4 linked regions of the Drosophila melanogaster genome follow. The protein of the gene in region 1 interacts with the protein of each later gene in a pairwise test. Each region holds a gene or a part of one and is shown in the gene's direction. Other genes may lie near its edges. The genes, in order: H15, CG43736, CG34302 and CG13843.

Evidence for each region.
Region 2: the proteins of H15 (region 1) and CG43736 interact in a two-hybrid assay, tested with the Drosophila melanogaster proteins (one large-scale study listed by BioGRID).
Region 3: the proteins of H15 (region 1) and CG34302 interact in a two-hybrid assay, tested with the Drosophila melanogaster proteins (one large-scale study listed by BioGRID).
Region 4: the proteins of H15 (region 1) and CG13843 interact in a two-hybrid assay, tested with the Drosophila melanogaster proteins (one large-scale study listed by BioGRID).

Annotation. Positions count from the first base shown.
Region 1 is NT_033779.5:5,402,614-5,407,322, forward strand, and holds the start of H15 (H15), read left to right. Parts: upstream 1-1,666; 5' UTR 1,667-2,266; coding exon 2,267-2,579; intron 2,580-4,297; coding exon 4,298-4,709.
Region 2 is NC_004354.4:6,866,488-6,871,290, forward strand, and holds the start of CG43736 (uncharacterized protein), read left to right. Parts: upstream 1-1,739; 5' UTR 1,740-2,293; intron 2,294-2,773; 5' UTR 2,774-2,902; coding exon 2,903-4,504; intron 4,505-4,803.
Region 3 is NT_033777.3:9,822,490-9,825,716, reverse strand, and holds CG34302 (uncharacterized protein), read left to right. Parts: upstream 1-1,893; 5' UTR 1,894-2,105; coding exon 2,106-2,618; 3' UTR 2,619-2,718; downstream 2,719-3,227.
Region 4 is NT_033777.3:22,607,553-22,611,281, forward strand, and holds CG13843 (uncharacterized protein), read left to right. Parts: upstream 1-1,932; 5' UTR 1,933-1,985; coding exon 1,986-2,554; intron 2,555-2,602; coding exon 2,603-3,122; 3' UTR 3,123-3,163; downstream 3,164-3,729. Other genes in the region: CG31156 (uncharacterized protein), read right to left, coding at 1,308-1,531, 1,594-1,723, 1,797-1,929, 3,170-3,400, 3,458-3,647, 3,700-3,729.

The DNA of each region.
Region 1 (4,709 bases):
AATTGTGAAAAAAGTCTGACGGAGGGAAACAAGATGGTGGCACCACCAGAGCCCCTTCCCCTCACCCCACCAGTTTCCTCCCTTTTCCATGGGTCTATAATTTTCTGCTGCGTTCACACGCCATAGTCGCATTTTTTTTCCAACCATCTTTTGTTGTTTCCTTTGAGCAAACATTTAAATTAAAAACATTTACATACGCCGGTGGGCGGACAAAAGGGAGGAGTGCCAGGAACCCAGATATTCAATTATGATTTTTCAATTGGAGGACCCAGCACACGAGACACTTTCTCAGATAAGTCCTGTCGCAGGACTTTTTGTTTTTTCTCTTGACGGTCTGGAAAATTATAGGGTGATGGTTAGGATGTTTAAAGGACATTTAAAGGGAATGAATAATTACAAGAATACAAATACATAAATATATTTTTCTTGGAATTTGGTGAAAATACAACTTGTAACGAAACAATTCAATACATTTTTCATAGCTCAAAATTGTACAATTTTTTTGAATAAAATGAGAAAAATGTGGAAACAGAAAACATTTCGAAATATTTTACATAAAATGCTGGCAAACAATAAAATGATGGCAAATGCGGGATAACCCCTTTGTTCATTTTTTACATTAATTTCCTCTCCTGAATTTTATAGATTTCCCTACCATGTTTAAATATGCTTTATAAGGTTATGTTTATAAAACATTCATTTCAATGTTATAGGTTAGTTCTTAATATAAAATCGTTTATTTAAGACTTAAAAAATATGTAATCAAGAACAATAATATTAATTTCAGAGATACCATGAAATTAAATATTATTAAAAGAATTTTTCAATATTCTCAATTTATACAGTAAACGTAACTAGAACGAAACTCACTCGCTTTTCCACTCAACTCAGTGCGCTGTGGTGAATAGCCAATGAGAAACGGAATGGAATCGGACCGAGTTGAGAATAATTGTAAATAGTCGACGAAAAGCGGTGAAACACACCCCCAACCCCGACCAACAAAATCCACTCACACTCACCATAGCAACAACAACAATGAAGCAAAGAACTGTCAACAGCCAAAAACAAAATGACGAATTTATGAACTCCTCAGCGCGCTCTCTTTCGCGCTCCCTTGCTTCTAGCGGCACGAGTGAGATGGCAGCAACAAAAGGCTCTCACTCAAATACGGCTATATAGAGTTGTCTCGCTCTAACACGCGGCTAGCTTATGAATTGGTATTGTTTTGAGTGCATGGGAATGTGTGTTCGAATTGGAAAATGGAAATGAGTTATGCCTCGACGCCGACGTCGCTGCAAGCAGCATGGGAATGCACTGCATGTGTGGCCATCTCGCTCACACCAGTCTAATTGAAAACCGTATTTTTTCCCATATTTCTTTTGCGGTTTAAACTGGCGGTTTGCCTACGTCACGTAAGGAAAGTTTCGGGCCATGTTCTCTGGAAATGTTTCCTTACGTCGCGTTACGTGGTGTTGAAAACCTTTCGCCGTAAGACACATCAGCTGTTGTTGTTTCTGTTTTGGGGGGTCAGTCGACGTCGCAGTTGGCTTCGCTGTCGGCGTCCTCGTATTTGTTGTTGATTTTTGCGTTGCGTTTTTTTGTTGGTTTTGTTGGCTTTGGCTTTGGCGCTTTTGGCGTTTACATGGCGAAAAGCGAATTGGGATTCATTCAATGGTCAGCTGCGTGACTGTGAAGCAGCGACGGCGCTCCGGAATTTCCCGTTTCCTACTCGAGAATACGCAAATTACGATAAATAGCACGAAAAACCGGAGACCGCAAATACGGGCGTAAAGTCGTCAAGTCGCAAAGTGTGTCGTAAAACGTTGGAAAAAATAATACACATTATTTGCAAAAAAAAATTAGACAAATTTTATAATATTTTATTATTTAATAAAAAATCAAACGGCACAAGAATAATAACATACATACATATATAAAAAGGAAGCAAAGCAACTCTGTGTGATAAAGCAGTTTAAATTATTAAAAGCAAAAGCCGGCAAAAAATCAACAAATATGTTGAAGAAAATTGTAAAGAATTCAGTTTAAATCCGAATATAATATTTTAAAGAGCATTAAACAAACAAGTCCCAAAATAGTAGAACTAATGCAAATACAAACATATCAAATAATGGGCAACAAATAGGCAAACGATAAAGAAAATACCAACAAAAGCGGGAAAGAAAGTCCGAAACCTTTGAGAGCATATATTTGGCAAGAATTGGCTAAAATCCGTGCAGCAGCATTACCAATTGGTCTCGGCCCGAAAATGCTTTTGAGCAATCAGCCGGCGAATACGAAACCGCAGCAAACGCCTTCGCCGTCGCAGACGCAGAACTTCAAGTCGAAGCTGCAGCAGCAGATTGTTTCGGCAGCGGCGGCGGCAGCGGCGAACATAGCCAACGGCAGCAGCCATCATCATCATCATCAGAACCATCATCATCACCATCCGCTGAACAACCATCATAATCACAATCACAATCAGCACAACATTTCCTTCGCCACGGATTTCTCAATTGCGGCGATTATGGCGCGCGGCGGAAACGCCCCAAGCAGCCGCGAACCTTCGGAACGCAGTCTGAGTGAGTAAAGTAATTCCCGCACTAAAATATCAGGCCTACATCGCAAACTAGACTCAAGAGCTGTTCAAAAATAGCCAATGCATTTTAGGGCTTCATTTTCGATTGGGTTTCAGAACAATAAGTATCTTGATATCGTTAGTTTGCATGAAACGAGCTTAAAAACCAATCTTCATTTGAGTCCCATCGCTTCATTCATGAACGTATGTTTCTTATGATTCTTGAATTCATATTCAGCTCCTTACTACAAACAAGTTTCACTCTATTAACATATTCAATATTCCATTCTTTCGATTGAGACTAATAAATTGGCCAGTCAAAGTTTGAAAAGATTTTAACTCTGGCATATCTAGCATGTTGATGTTTATCCCAAGTTACGGGCTTGTCTGCTGATTTAACTATAAATATTTACGATCCAGGATTAAAATATGAAAGGCTTGATAAATGATTGAAAATAATCAAGCTGTGACGAAGAGCCAATTATCACATTTATGTATTATTTATGTGAATTTTTTAATTCAGATTTCAGATACAAGATTAGGAAAGTACACTCAAAATCGAAATAGAACTCGATAAAATCACACATAAGAGCAGAAACAAAATGCATTGCCAGAAAAATATATGTGTAGCAAATTGGCTTTGAATACTTGAGACTTGATGAAGAACAAAAGCAAATTAGTAGGTTAGTGTGCTAGCAAGAAAATTGAAATGTAGTTGATATTTCTATATATTTCTAGAAACACGTAAAGCAGTTAGGAAAATATATAAACATATTTCATTGGCTTTGGTAAAGAGTCATGTAATCGATTGCTTAGTAATATTCACTTGCTTTATTACCCACCTCTTGAAAAACTGTCGCAGCTGCATTACATTTCTATATTTTCCACATTTTTTGCTGCCCTTTTTGTGCAATATAAATTATATATTGATGACAATGCAACGTTGATGACTTGATAATTGCAGCAAATGCGCGGCAATAAAATAATCAAAGCCTATTTGAATGCGCCAAAGGGGTTGGGAAATGCACATGACAGGCGCAGAGCAGATACATATATATGTATAATCGCATTTGTATATACACTCTGAATGCAAAACTATTTAGATGCCATAATTGGGCAGAGACAAAAGCGCAAACAGATGCATTCATTAGTGTGAAAACCGACCCCCCCCCCACCATCGTGCACACCATTCTCTTTCAATTGGCAATTTTCATTGGCAATGCCAGCACACAAATACACACGAAATTAACATATGAAATTGCATTTTGAGCAAATAATTGAATTTCTGGCGTAATCTGTAAAATGCATCTGGTCGCGAACTGGATTCTCGTTGGCATTGCTGTTGCGACTCGTCATCGACAACATGCAACATGTTGCAGCCCAGCAGCAACTCCCACATTAACGAGCCACGCTGATGTCTCTCTTTTCTAAGTGCACTGAAAGAATATGCTCTTCTAATATGACAACAAACAATTAGCACTTATGTCTGTTAAGAAATGATATACTTAAATACACATTCTTTACTGTTAGAAATTCGTAGGAATCTTTTTTATAAACTTATAAGCTCTAAGTATCATTATATTTAATATTAATTATTTTTGGTTACTTGTATCAAACATTAATTTTTAATGATTGTGTTTTGTAGTTGCAAGTAGTTGTTTTTCCATAATTGGGACTTAGTTACTGACGCATTCTGCCCCCCATTCATTTCTGGTCGTGTAGGTCCCGCATCTGTGGAGCGCTATTCAGGCCAGGATGCGGACGATGATGTTGACGTTGATGTGGTCGACTGCAGTGACTCGGAAATGCCGTCGGCAACTGCGGCAGCAGCAGCGGCGGCAACAACAGCAGCGGCTGCAGCGGCAGCATTGCAGGCGCAGCAACAAGCGCGTCAGGCATTGCGTGTTGCACAGCAACAACAGCAGCAGCAGCAACAACAAAGGCAGCAGACACATCACCACGCAACAACTGGCAAGCAACAACGCCAACATCACAATCATCACAGCAGCAACACCAACAACAGCAGCAACTCAGGCAACAGCAACACCAACAGCAAATCAAGCAGCCAGCGAGGGCGTTCTGCTGCCGCAGTGGGAGCCGCTGCCACGCCCTCGCCACCGCCGCCCCCGCCCTC
Region 2 (4,803 bases), on another chromosome or scaffold:
AGAAAAAAAAAACAAAAAACATCTTCCACACAAAGTACAAGAAATACCCAAACACACTCACGCACAGCTGACTAATTAGCAAAGCAAAACACCAAAAATCAAAACCCCCACTCAAAATCAAGAGAGATGCCACGAAACAGGGAGCCCGTAGAACGAAAGAATTAAAGAAAGCCACGCACTGGAGAGTCTCGTACCGTACAAACTAAAAAGCCCGGGAGACACCTGAAACCAAAGCCGAGAGATACCAATAAACTGCAGTGCCTTCCATTGACACTCGGCTTTTGAATACCCTAAAAACTGATTGGTGTACTTACGTACATTCATATATAAATTGCGTTTCGGTTTATATTGTGTAATCCTATTACACACATAAGCATATGATTGAATGAAAACAAGTAGAACCTTTAATAGGCTACAGTTGGTTCTAAATAAATTGAAGTGGACATTGCATTAAGTAAAATACATATCACAATGTGTTTTGGCGCAACTGTACGTTTAGTTTTCGGGACCAAATAACACCTGTTTTGATCTGACTGTACTTCGCGGGACTCGTTATTAACTGGCAGTTAACTTTTTAGCCCCGTATGATGGCGGCACAATGGAATTTGACTTGGACTCTTGGACCTGGCTAATTAAATTTTTTTTTTTGGTAAATGTTTAGAGTCGGGGCGACCTTTTGGAGCTGCGCCCGTTCGTGAACTCGTGTATTCGTTTGTTCGTGTTCGTGCTCGGTCGTTCCCGGTTTTCTCTGCCTTCTGGAACGGGGCCTGTCTTGAAAGCCGCAGAGCGCGCGAATACCGAAAACTTCTTGCATTCGACGGTGCGAAAGGGACGGGGAGAGTGATGGCATGTGGGAAAGGGAGAGGGCTAGAGCGAGGAGAGGTGGCCATCGAATGCTAAGCAGGGGCCTTTGCTTTTGCTTTTGGTGCTTGCCAAAAATAGAGCCGCCCCGCCACGCCTTCGCCCACAAAGAGCACCCACCCACCCACTCCCGCACAAAAGCAACAACATCATCATCACACCACCAATACCAAAACCAATACCAATACTGTGACCCAGCCAGCTCTCTGTGAACATGTGTCAGTGTGTGTGGGTCTTGTATATAGCATAGCTTAAGCTTTCCTTGTACCGTGGTTCAAATGCCAGGGGAAAATGGCATTATTATATTCTTATAGAGAAATAATATATACAAATAAATTTGTACAACTGTATGTAAAGAGTAAACATGTAACAAGGAAACACTAATTTTAAAGTAAATTTAGCTAGTTTGCATTATTTTTTACACCATTTATATGAGTAAGCCACAAAGAAGCTTGCCTTTTTTGATCTGCTTGATTCCCAGATGGTGTTACTAAAAAATAATGCGAATTTGAGAGAAAGTTTAACAATAAAAAGTTCAAATTCGAGATACATATGTGTAGAGTATTTAAAGAACTTAATTGTGAGGTTAAATATTCAACAAATGGTAAACTTGTAATCCCATAAATTCGTATTATTTTATAAAATTTTACTTTCATACTGAATTGGCTAAGATCCCTTAATTAATTTCCATAAGTTGCTTATGTCTTAACCACTGTGGGTTGTAACTCTGCAGCTACGTTGACGTCGGCGTCGCAGCTTAGAGCTAGTCGATGAGCGGAAGGAGAGAGAGAGAGCAGGCGTTCGTCGAGGAGGGGGCTAGCCGAATAGGGTGAGAGAGAGCGATGGCAGAGTAGGAAAATGCATAAGAAGGGGGGTGGGGGCGCAAAAGGGAGACGGACAGCAGCAACAACAATTCGGCAAAATGTTCGTGGCAGCGTTGCAGCGACGCCGACTGCGCTACGGGTGTTTGTTTTTTTCTCTTTCGTGTTTTCCGTTTTTCTTTTGCGCTCTGCATCCGCTGCCGCAGTAGGCGTCGCTGCCGGCGCGCTGCGCCAGTGTGGGTGAGCGCACGGCTGTAGGTTTGTGTGTGTGCCGTACACATTTTTCAGTTGACTTCGTTGAAATAATTTTCGTAACAACGATCACACTCGTTTGTGTATTGCGAAGACGGGCGGACGTGCGTCGGCGTCGAATGCGGAACAAGCGCTAAAGCAAACTAGCGAAAAAGTGCGAATATCAAAAGAAAAGAGAACCAAACAAATTGTTTTTTTTTTTCACCACGAGCGTCGTCGCAAAAACAACAAAAAGGAATTTAATAAACCAAAAGCAAACGAGGAGAGAGAAAGCAGCAACTAAATATAACAACAAATGCATTAAATAGTTTTGTTTTTTTTTTTGCCACACTGCCAAAATGCAGTTAGCGTTTGTTTGTGTAAGTGTACCACATGCATACATAATGTATAATTTATATGCCAAAAACAACAACAGCAATAGCATTGTGTGCAAAATGTTGAAATGAGCTCGAAAAACAACAAAAATAAGTGCGCGCATTAACACACGCACACTTGCAAAGGAAAACATCTAAAAAAATTATCACGTGTGTGTGTGTGTGTGTGTGTGTGTGAGACAGCCGGTCAGTGTGACCGTTTGTGTGCCAGAAAGAGAAGGATCGAACAAGCCGGCTGTTTATTTCTTTTATAGTTCTGTTTAAATAACAAATACACTTGCCAAAAGAATTTCATTTTGATGTGTGAATAATTAAAAAAATCAGTAAGACATAATGCAGTCTTTGTTAAATATATATTGACATATATGAGCATATATATAAATACATACACAAATAACATATCAAATTGAAATGCTGGCAGTACCAATCGAACTGTCATCCTAACAAGTAAATTTTTCAATACAGCTCCTAATATAAAACCAAACCAAAAGTGTGGATATCGAAAAGTCTGGAAAAGTACGATAACGCAAGATTACATAGAGCGCGAGCAAGACAGCATTCTAGAGCAAAAGAGCGAGAGTGTGCGGAGGAGCGATGGCCAGCGAGGATGTGCAGATCACTAGCGTCATCGATGCCAATGGCCAGAGCCTACCGCTCCACGGCAACAGTTTGGGCGGTCCCCTGGGACCGCCCGTCAAGCAGGAGCGTCCCGATGACGCCGAGATCCGCGAACTAGCTGCCAAAATGAAGGAGCAGCAGAAGCAACAGGCCGCCCAGCAGGCATCCCGTCAAGCGGCCATGCAGCACTCGAATGGGGGCGCCATTGCGGCATCCTCGGCCGGTGGCAACATGCAGCCGCCGATCACAAATGGCAATGGCCAGACCAATATCATGAACTACCTATCTCGTCATCAGAAACTACCCAACGGCACCATGCAGGTGGTGCCCGCCTTGGCCTCCAATGGCCGCTCGAATGGAGCCGTCAGCGACTCCGGCTCGGACAAGAAGTCCTCCACGGGACCCTGCGACGAGGAGTCCATTCAAGGCCACTTCGGCTGGGCTCAGTTCGGCAAGGTATCCATACCGTACATCTATCGCCAATCGGAGAAGTACTGCTCCGTGCGCATGATCGAACTGAAACTGCTGGGCAAATACCTTAACTGCCTGCATCCGGATATCTACTCCAGCTGCACCTGCGTGCGCAGCTACTACATCACCGATGCGGAGGCCCGTCTCTTCATCGAGATTAATCATAAGCATTGTGACGGCGAGTTCGGTCGCGACATCTTCAACCAAAAGGATTTGGTGGTGCGTCTCAGTGACGCATCCAAGTTCTATCAGTTCCTGGATATTTGCTATAGGAAACTAGTCTCCGGCAGCAAGACGCCGTCGGAGAAGTGCGGCTTTATTCGCATCAACAAGGAGTCCGTGGTGCCCTACACTGTGCGCAACAATCAGCAGGTTGTGCCGCTCTTTTATTTTGAGGGCGAGACCGAGAATCTAAAGACCAAAGCGGAGCTGCTCAATGGCTGGGACCTGGCTTATCTAAAGTTCTGCTGCAAGGTGCAGGGCATACGCAATGAGCTCTTCTCCAGCGAGAACGTGGCCGTGATTTCGCTGACGGACATCAAAAGCTACTTCCCAAATGGCACCGAATTCGAGGACTACTGGCCCAGCAAGGTGGTTGACTCCAATCTGCTCATTGGCAATCGGGCCAATGTCAACAACTCGGTCAATTGGACCCGTCAACCCTCGGCGCCGCCTCCAAAAGTGACCACCTCCGTTTCCGGATCGTCCGGCCCTTCCTCCTCCAGCGGCGGCAACATGGGCCAGAACACATCAGCCGCATCATCCTCCGCGAACACCGCTGGTGGCCAACAGGTGACCTCAAAATCTCAGCAACAGCACGCTGCCTCTGCCGCCGCAGCAGCGGCGACGGCGCATCAACAGCATCTGATGAAGCAACGCGCCGCCGCAGCAGCAGCTGCCGCCGGCGCCAATGGTGTGGCGAATGCGGCAAATAGTTTTGGGGCAGCCGCGGTAGCGGCCTTCAATTCCCAGGCGGCGGCAGCGGCGTCGATGCTCCAGCAGTCGCAGGGCAACAACAGGATGTTATCGCAGGCCACCGTCCAGGCTTTGGCCAGCAGCGGATGGATGTCCGGACAGACAAACCTGCAGCTCCACGCCCAGATGATGGTGAGTTGAGCACTAGGCTAGCTAACGTTTTCCTCCAATTAATGCACAATGTTTATCAAACTTTGGGATATCAAAGCTATTAGCAAAGTTTGAGAAGTAATGCCCAATCGTAATCTGGAATATAATATCAACGTTGCTATGGTATCATTTATTATACCCCAGCTACTGAACAATATTATAGATACAAGATTCTTTACACTCAACCGAATTATCGTTTTTCAAGCCTTATCTAGAAATTCGAGCCTACTTTAGAGTAATGCGAGTCGGTGTTTATGCAATGTTTGTGATATACATTAATC
Region 3 (3,227 bases), on another chromosome or scaffold:
GATGGGAAGACGACCTACACTTGGCGAAATCACTGGAGCTATGAACATATTGAAAGGCTTTAAACTTCGTTAATAATAAATGTTCCTAAAAGTATGCAAGCATAGTTTATAACTCCGAAAGTTTTGGAGCAAACAAAGCAAATGCACCAACTTCTTTTGCTGCACATCCAAGACTCCTTTTTCGCAATATAAAATATTTCAACAGAGAATTTGCAGTTTTCATAATTCAATGATAAAGTTTTCTAAGAACATCGAGAACTTTTTTCAACCAGTATATCCTTCCCGCGCAGAATTTTGTTTCTGTGCTCATTTCCCCGCCTTATGGGAAAGTTCATCCGCACATCCTTGCCACCAGATGATGTTTACACTTGAGCTGCAGCATTGGCAAACACAATCTCCATGCCACAAACCCTGGTCGCCCCCACTCCACTGATTTTCCATCGCTTGGTGCGTTTGTTGTGTTCGCATATGTATGGGAAAAAAGAACTGCCGTGGTTTCTGCCAGAAACCAAGGATCCAGCAAACAGCAGCCACAGCCTTCGATTCAAGTTGTTTGCCCGACGCAACCCGAAAACTGAGTTAGCCCAACTCAGCGGTCGTTCTCTGTGCTGGAATACTACAAACACATTGGGTGGGAAAAAGTTTTTTAGGGAACGATGTCATAACCGTAGGCCCCAGTTGATCCTTCATCGATTAGTGTGGCAGGAAGCGAGTCCCTCATAACGGAAGCTGCCACAAAGTTGCGAGCACAAATCGCTACAAGAACGCAGCTCCTCGGGCTACGCGTTTGCTCAACAGGTAACTAGTAGCCATTGGAAAATCTTTCCCGTATCTACATACACTTGGGTATATAAAATATCTAACCTCAAGCGAAGGTAAATATTTCATTTAAATATCTGTAATATTGAGTTGTTTTACAAACATATCACATATGAAGACATTGTACCCTACCCACCACTGATTGCTGTATCCTAGCGATTGATGGCTTGAAAATGCGCAAATTGGAAGGAAGGGCTCCACTTGGAGGAGCAATTGAGAGAACAACGAGCTTAACAAGCTGCCAGAGCACCGGGGGCGCTTTTTGTTTCCAACTGTCCTGGCTGGTCCTCCTCCTCCACCACCTGCGCTGCGGATGAGGAGGAACAAAGCGGCAGGTAGTTGGCACTTCAATTGAACACATTAATGTGTCACTTTCGTCGGATCTCGGAGCGAGTTTCGGTGCGTCGGCAATGCCATAAATCAACACCCACCCCGTCCATCGCCATGGAGAGCTATCGATTAGCCGGGCTCCAACCTTCGGATTGGAGGCGTCAGGCAAATGGCATGGGCCAGGAGGGTGACACGAGGATTGGGGGGCAGGCGGATTGAGCCATGAGGCGTGCTGCTGCAATGAGTGCGACCACCAAAACCTGGACAGGTAGTTCTCCTCGCACCGTGGGCCTCAAATTTATGAACTTGACTTTCGGTTAGCTAACAGCCATCAGCCAACGTTGGGTGGCCCCTCCATCCGGCCCAGGCCTCTCGTCATTGGTTCCGGCCAGACACGAACGGGTATGAAAAGGTTCGCATGACTGCAGGAAATTACCATAATTTCAATTTAACAAATTAAACGAATTCCGTTCTGAGCTGGAGAAAAAAAAGAGAGCAGCGTCGGCCTCCAAAAGAGTTAAGGTTTAAGAAGTCCTTGCTTTGGGAGCTGAAGATTTTTACAGCTGATAAATGTGGATGAATTCACCTGACAAAATGGGTGGAAAACTACTTGCCGGCGGAGGGGGAACTTTTTTATTTCAATTACTTGATGGAAAAGATGTGTAATTTGTATTTACACAAAAATTGCAGGCACTGCTAAATTACTATTAAAAATATAACCGTGCCAAAAATATTTTTTAACGGTCAATCAAGTTTTTGATTTGCATTCAAAAACAATAGGGACTAAAATTCCAATAAGAAACCATTGTAAAGGTGTTAACCCTATTTTAGAGATTTCATTTATCGAACTTTTTTGAGGTTACGCAAAAAAGTGGCCCGTTTTCAAGACTATCGAAGTGACAGAGAACATTTCGCAGGGAGTTGCATTTGCTAAAGACCTGCCAGCGATTAACACGATGGATCCACTCCGCCGTAATCCTCTTTTGGAAATTACCAAATGTGAGATGTGCTCCAATTTGGTATACCATTTTCCGACTGGATTGTGTGCCCGCTGCTTAACTCTTTGGGCCGGAAAGAAACCAATGGACGGACTGAGACTGACCGTGGACCAATCGAAGGCTTTCCTTGTGAACATTGCTCGCTGTTCGGATGCCCAGGATAAGAGCCATATGGACCCCACCTTTCAACGCGTGATTGCCGAGGTGAGATTGCAGCGCCAACAGAAACTTGAGCTGTTCCAGAAGATTCGCCAGCAGTTACAGCTTTCCGTACTCACCGGTTCCTTCTATGACAAAAATCCAAAATACGAAGTCAATGAGGACTATTGGAATATACCGGATATCGTCGATGCAGACATGCTGATGTTTCAGAAAAATATTGACCTGCTTGCAGATATACCCACCATTTCGTCAGAGATCAATGACGAAAATAAATACAATAAGCGCGAAAATAGAAAACGAAATTTGTAGCTGCTATCCACTTTTAATACAAAAGAAAGTACAAATATTTCTGAGAAATATACATATAAATGATAACGTGATATAATAAAGTATTTATACACCTTTTGGTAAATTGTAAACTTTTTTTTTCCAAAAACTGAAAGCTGTTTATGTTTATGTTTATGTGATAATGGGTCATTACCAATTTGACCGAAGGTCAATTCCTCACCAGGGAATCGTGGAAAGGATTGAATCGGATGCCTTGTAATTGGTACTTTTAGCCGGTGTAATAAATTACCCAAAATCCGGGCAGCGACCAAGTCGAATCCAATTGAGCAAATGTGATTGCCAGGTCATCATTACCATCGTCCATTGCCCATCGTCCATCGTCCATTGCCCATCAGATATCAAGCTCCGACTGTCTCCAGGGGCTCATGGACATTTGGCTAATGAAAATGTTTATTCAAATTTACGTCAATGGATGTGTTTACACGAATGACCATCAATCTACATAAATAAACCCAAGTGCTGGGCGAGATATTATATGTATGTGTGCGTGTACCATGGAATGTCGCACAGTGTATTGTTCTTTGCCCGGCATTGTTCAACAATTTGTTTAATGAGAAAACTAATAAATCA
Region 4 (3,729 bases), on another chromosome or scaffold:
GCGGCTGTGCCGTGTCTGCCACAGAAATTCGGAATTCGTGCACTTTCAGTCAGTTAAAACCCCATCAGGGGTTGCGAGAAAGAGATCATTTGAGACAATTAGACTACCAATGCGATAATTAACGAGGGAGAATTTTACGTTTAAAGGTCGTTCATCAGAAGACATCGGCATAATCTCGGCAACCAGAGGATTATCTCGAATTCGTGCAGTTGATTTTATATTTACCATGCTACTTATCCAGAATGAGGGTATTCGAGATCGGTTTCACCTGATTTAAAGCTACACAGTCAGATCGATTCGAATTTGAATTATCGTTCATATTTGCTCCGCCAAAGATTCTGCTGGACGGCTGTTTAGGAACGAGAATGAAAACTGCTTATACACATAGACTTATTATTACAAGAGTTGATAAACAATACTTACATCATTACCTATGCTATCATTATAAATGATAAAAATAAATTATTAATTAATGAACAATATCTCTACACAACCACAAGATGGAGAACATCGGCAGTAACAATAACGAAATGAGAATTGAGAAGAGGACAAGCGCATTAGCATTAAGCTTAAGCAATTACTACCATACCGTGTACAACTTGTTTTTGGTCTTTTGCGATACATTATCACATTTAACTGTGTAGGAACAGTTACTCCAATATTATGTACGGATTAATATATTTATTTAAACAACTATCGGTTGATTACGCGACATGTCCATGTAGCTAGAATATGAAATTAAATATCCATTACGGGGTAAAGAGAGATGGAGGAAAAAATAAAATTAAATGCATCATATATTTTTGAATATATTATGATTATGGTATTGTGTAATTATGTAAATGCAGACTATATAACATTGTTTATAATAATTTTTAACAATTCTACTGAAACGGCAATAAATTCGAAAATACAAACTAACTAAAAGTGAAAGCAACTTGCCTGCTGCAAACCAAGCGCCTAAATGTATGCATATTGTATATTTATTTTAACTGGCTTAAGAGGGCATCACTTAGTTTCTAAAGCAATACCCTTTCGATAACAATTCATTTAAGACAACTTGCCAACTTGTGGCGAGAAGGGAAACAAGAAGACGAACGTGGAGACGGTGATTTTTATGTGAACATTTATTACTAACTGATAAGCTTTGATTAAACTTAGGAAAGCCGTTATACTATGCATATACACATATATATAAATATATATATGAACTATATATAGTATATATGAATGCTCGTGTGAGCAACCAAACAATTACGATATGAATCATTAAATACTTCCGAAAGCATTAAATCCCTGCAGTTTGTCTAATCCTCCGCCTTGAACTTAAACGAGGTATCCGTCTCCATCAGCATATTTTCCAAACGTAATTCCAACTGGCGTCGCTTCAGATCCACCTTTACCACCGATGCCACAATGCGATCGCCAACGCTCAGCTGCGAATTATTCATGTTACTGTTGTGTATGAGGCCATTGCGCTCCACTCCAACGTCCACGAAGGCGCCAAACTGGGTTACGTTGGTCACGGCACCTGTGTGTCGGAATAGTTTCAATAAGTACATATATGAAATGACTATCATAGTCTCCACTTGCCAGTGACCACCTCGCCCATGCTAAGATCATCCAGCCTAGTTAGACCTTGTTTGAACAGTGGCCTCTTGTCCAGATCTGCTCGATAATCCTGAAGTAATTCGCGCTGCAGGGCAACCAACAGGAACTCCAACTGAAAGGAAATTTATTTTAAATTATTTGAACATTGCAATAGGCCTGTTTAGTATAGATTGAGTGGCACTTACTCGCTCCATGGGCAGCTTGTGCTGCTTGGCAATGCGATCGAGATTAGGCTGGGATGAGGCAAACTGCTTGATGCTAGCTATAAAGGCAGCCTTGCCCACATCCGACAGCTTTAAGTCACATTCTCCGACAATACTGAAAGCACAAAAAGTATTTGGTTTTAGAGTTAAGTTTTCAAATTTTCCATTATAATGATTGCCAAGCTAAAGCAGGAATATGCGGAGCGCTGGCATTATCCTCCAATTGTGCCGCCAGCCAAGCTTCGATATGTTGCATGTGGAAAGGTAGCATTCTACGGCCACAACGATAAGCCGAAATACAAGCCCTGCTGGCAGCATCCGCTCAATGTGCAGGATCAAACCCGCTTTGGAGTTTGCTGGGAGTATCCGCCGGAGCGGTACAAGCGTCGTCCGCTTCCGCCACCGTGCCGGGGATCGACCATTCCCATCCATTTGCTGAAGCCAACCTTCAAGCATTGTGAGAATATCTACTCCCGCTACGATTTTAAGCTTGAGCAGTGTGTGCACGAGCAAACTCTAGTAGTTGACCAGAAAATGAAGGCCCTGAAGAATGAGCTGGAGCAGGCCAAACCATTTCAGATTGAGAGGGTTAAGGAGATGCGTTACCATGGAGTGCGTTATCGCATTTTAGCCAGCTCGACCGGATGCACTAAGACCTATCCCGAGTACATAAGCCGGATGACCGAAGAGCGGGCCCTTTGCGAGTTTCAGAGAGCCTACAATATCGTCAATCAGTCAAAGTAAGTCTATTAAAAATACACAGCCACTGCTAATTTAAAACTTTTTAGCACCGATTTGAGCAATTTATACCTGGACATGAGTGAGTCGAAAAAGGAGCTAGATCAACGCGTAGCCAGGTTGGACCGGTCTTTAGGAAGTACATTCTTGAAAGAGCTAGATTCGGTGCTGCAAATAATCGAGGACTTAAACACGTATTTCTTTGGCGTGATCGTGAAGCTAAAGACGTGGGCGGAGCTGATGGACCCTATGAAAGAGCACTCTATAGAGGACTATCTGGGGCTTTTGAGTCAGGAGACGGACTTCCGGACTTTTATGAGTGCCGGCATGGAGAACTGCACCTGCAAGCGTTGCGACAAGAAGGATCCCTTGAAGCCGTACCTTCCGTGCTGGTGTCAAATGGAATCTAGCGAGGATGTTACAAATCTTAAGAATTTTGACGACGATTGTCCAAAGAACATAGCTGGCATCACGCAACACGAAAGTGACATTGTGACACCTAGTGACACCTCCTTGTTAGTGAGGGCAGCGGATGAAAAGGCCAGGCTTGCGATGAATCAGGCGGAATAAAGTCTCATTATTATTGGTTAATGAAGTCAATTGAATATTGGACTTACCTTTCCACAACGTTGTAGCTCTCAGGATGCACCCAAGTGCAATCTAATGGATTCTGTAGTTGTCCTCCAACGCTTCGGGGTTCGATGCGCACAAAACCGGCGCACTGGACAAACGATTTCTCACCTATGCTTCGCACGGAGAGCAGATCCTTCCGTGTCTTGAATGGTCCTTTCTGCGTACGATGCTCAATGATCTTTTCCGCTTTCTTTTCCGACAGACCAGCAATGTGCCTATATGGTGGAGAATATTAAAAATATATAACTTATTTGACCCTTAATCACACATACTTGAGTACACTCAGACTGGCTGTGTTGAGATCAACGCCAACATAACTGACACACTCGGACACAACGTCATTCAGCGATGCCGTCAAAATCTTCTCGGGAACATCGTGCTGGTACATACCAACCCCCAGGTGACGGGGCTCTATTTTAACATATTCACTCAATGGATCATTCAAACGACGCGCTATGGACACTATACAAAATATGTTTGTTTGTGTTGCTTTTAATTTGATCTTCGTCCAAACCTGCGCTCCTTTCGTTTGTATCCATTTTGG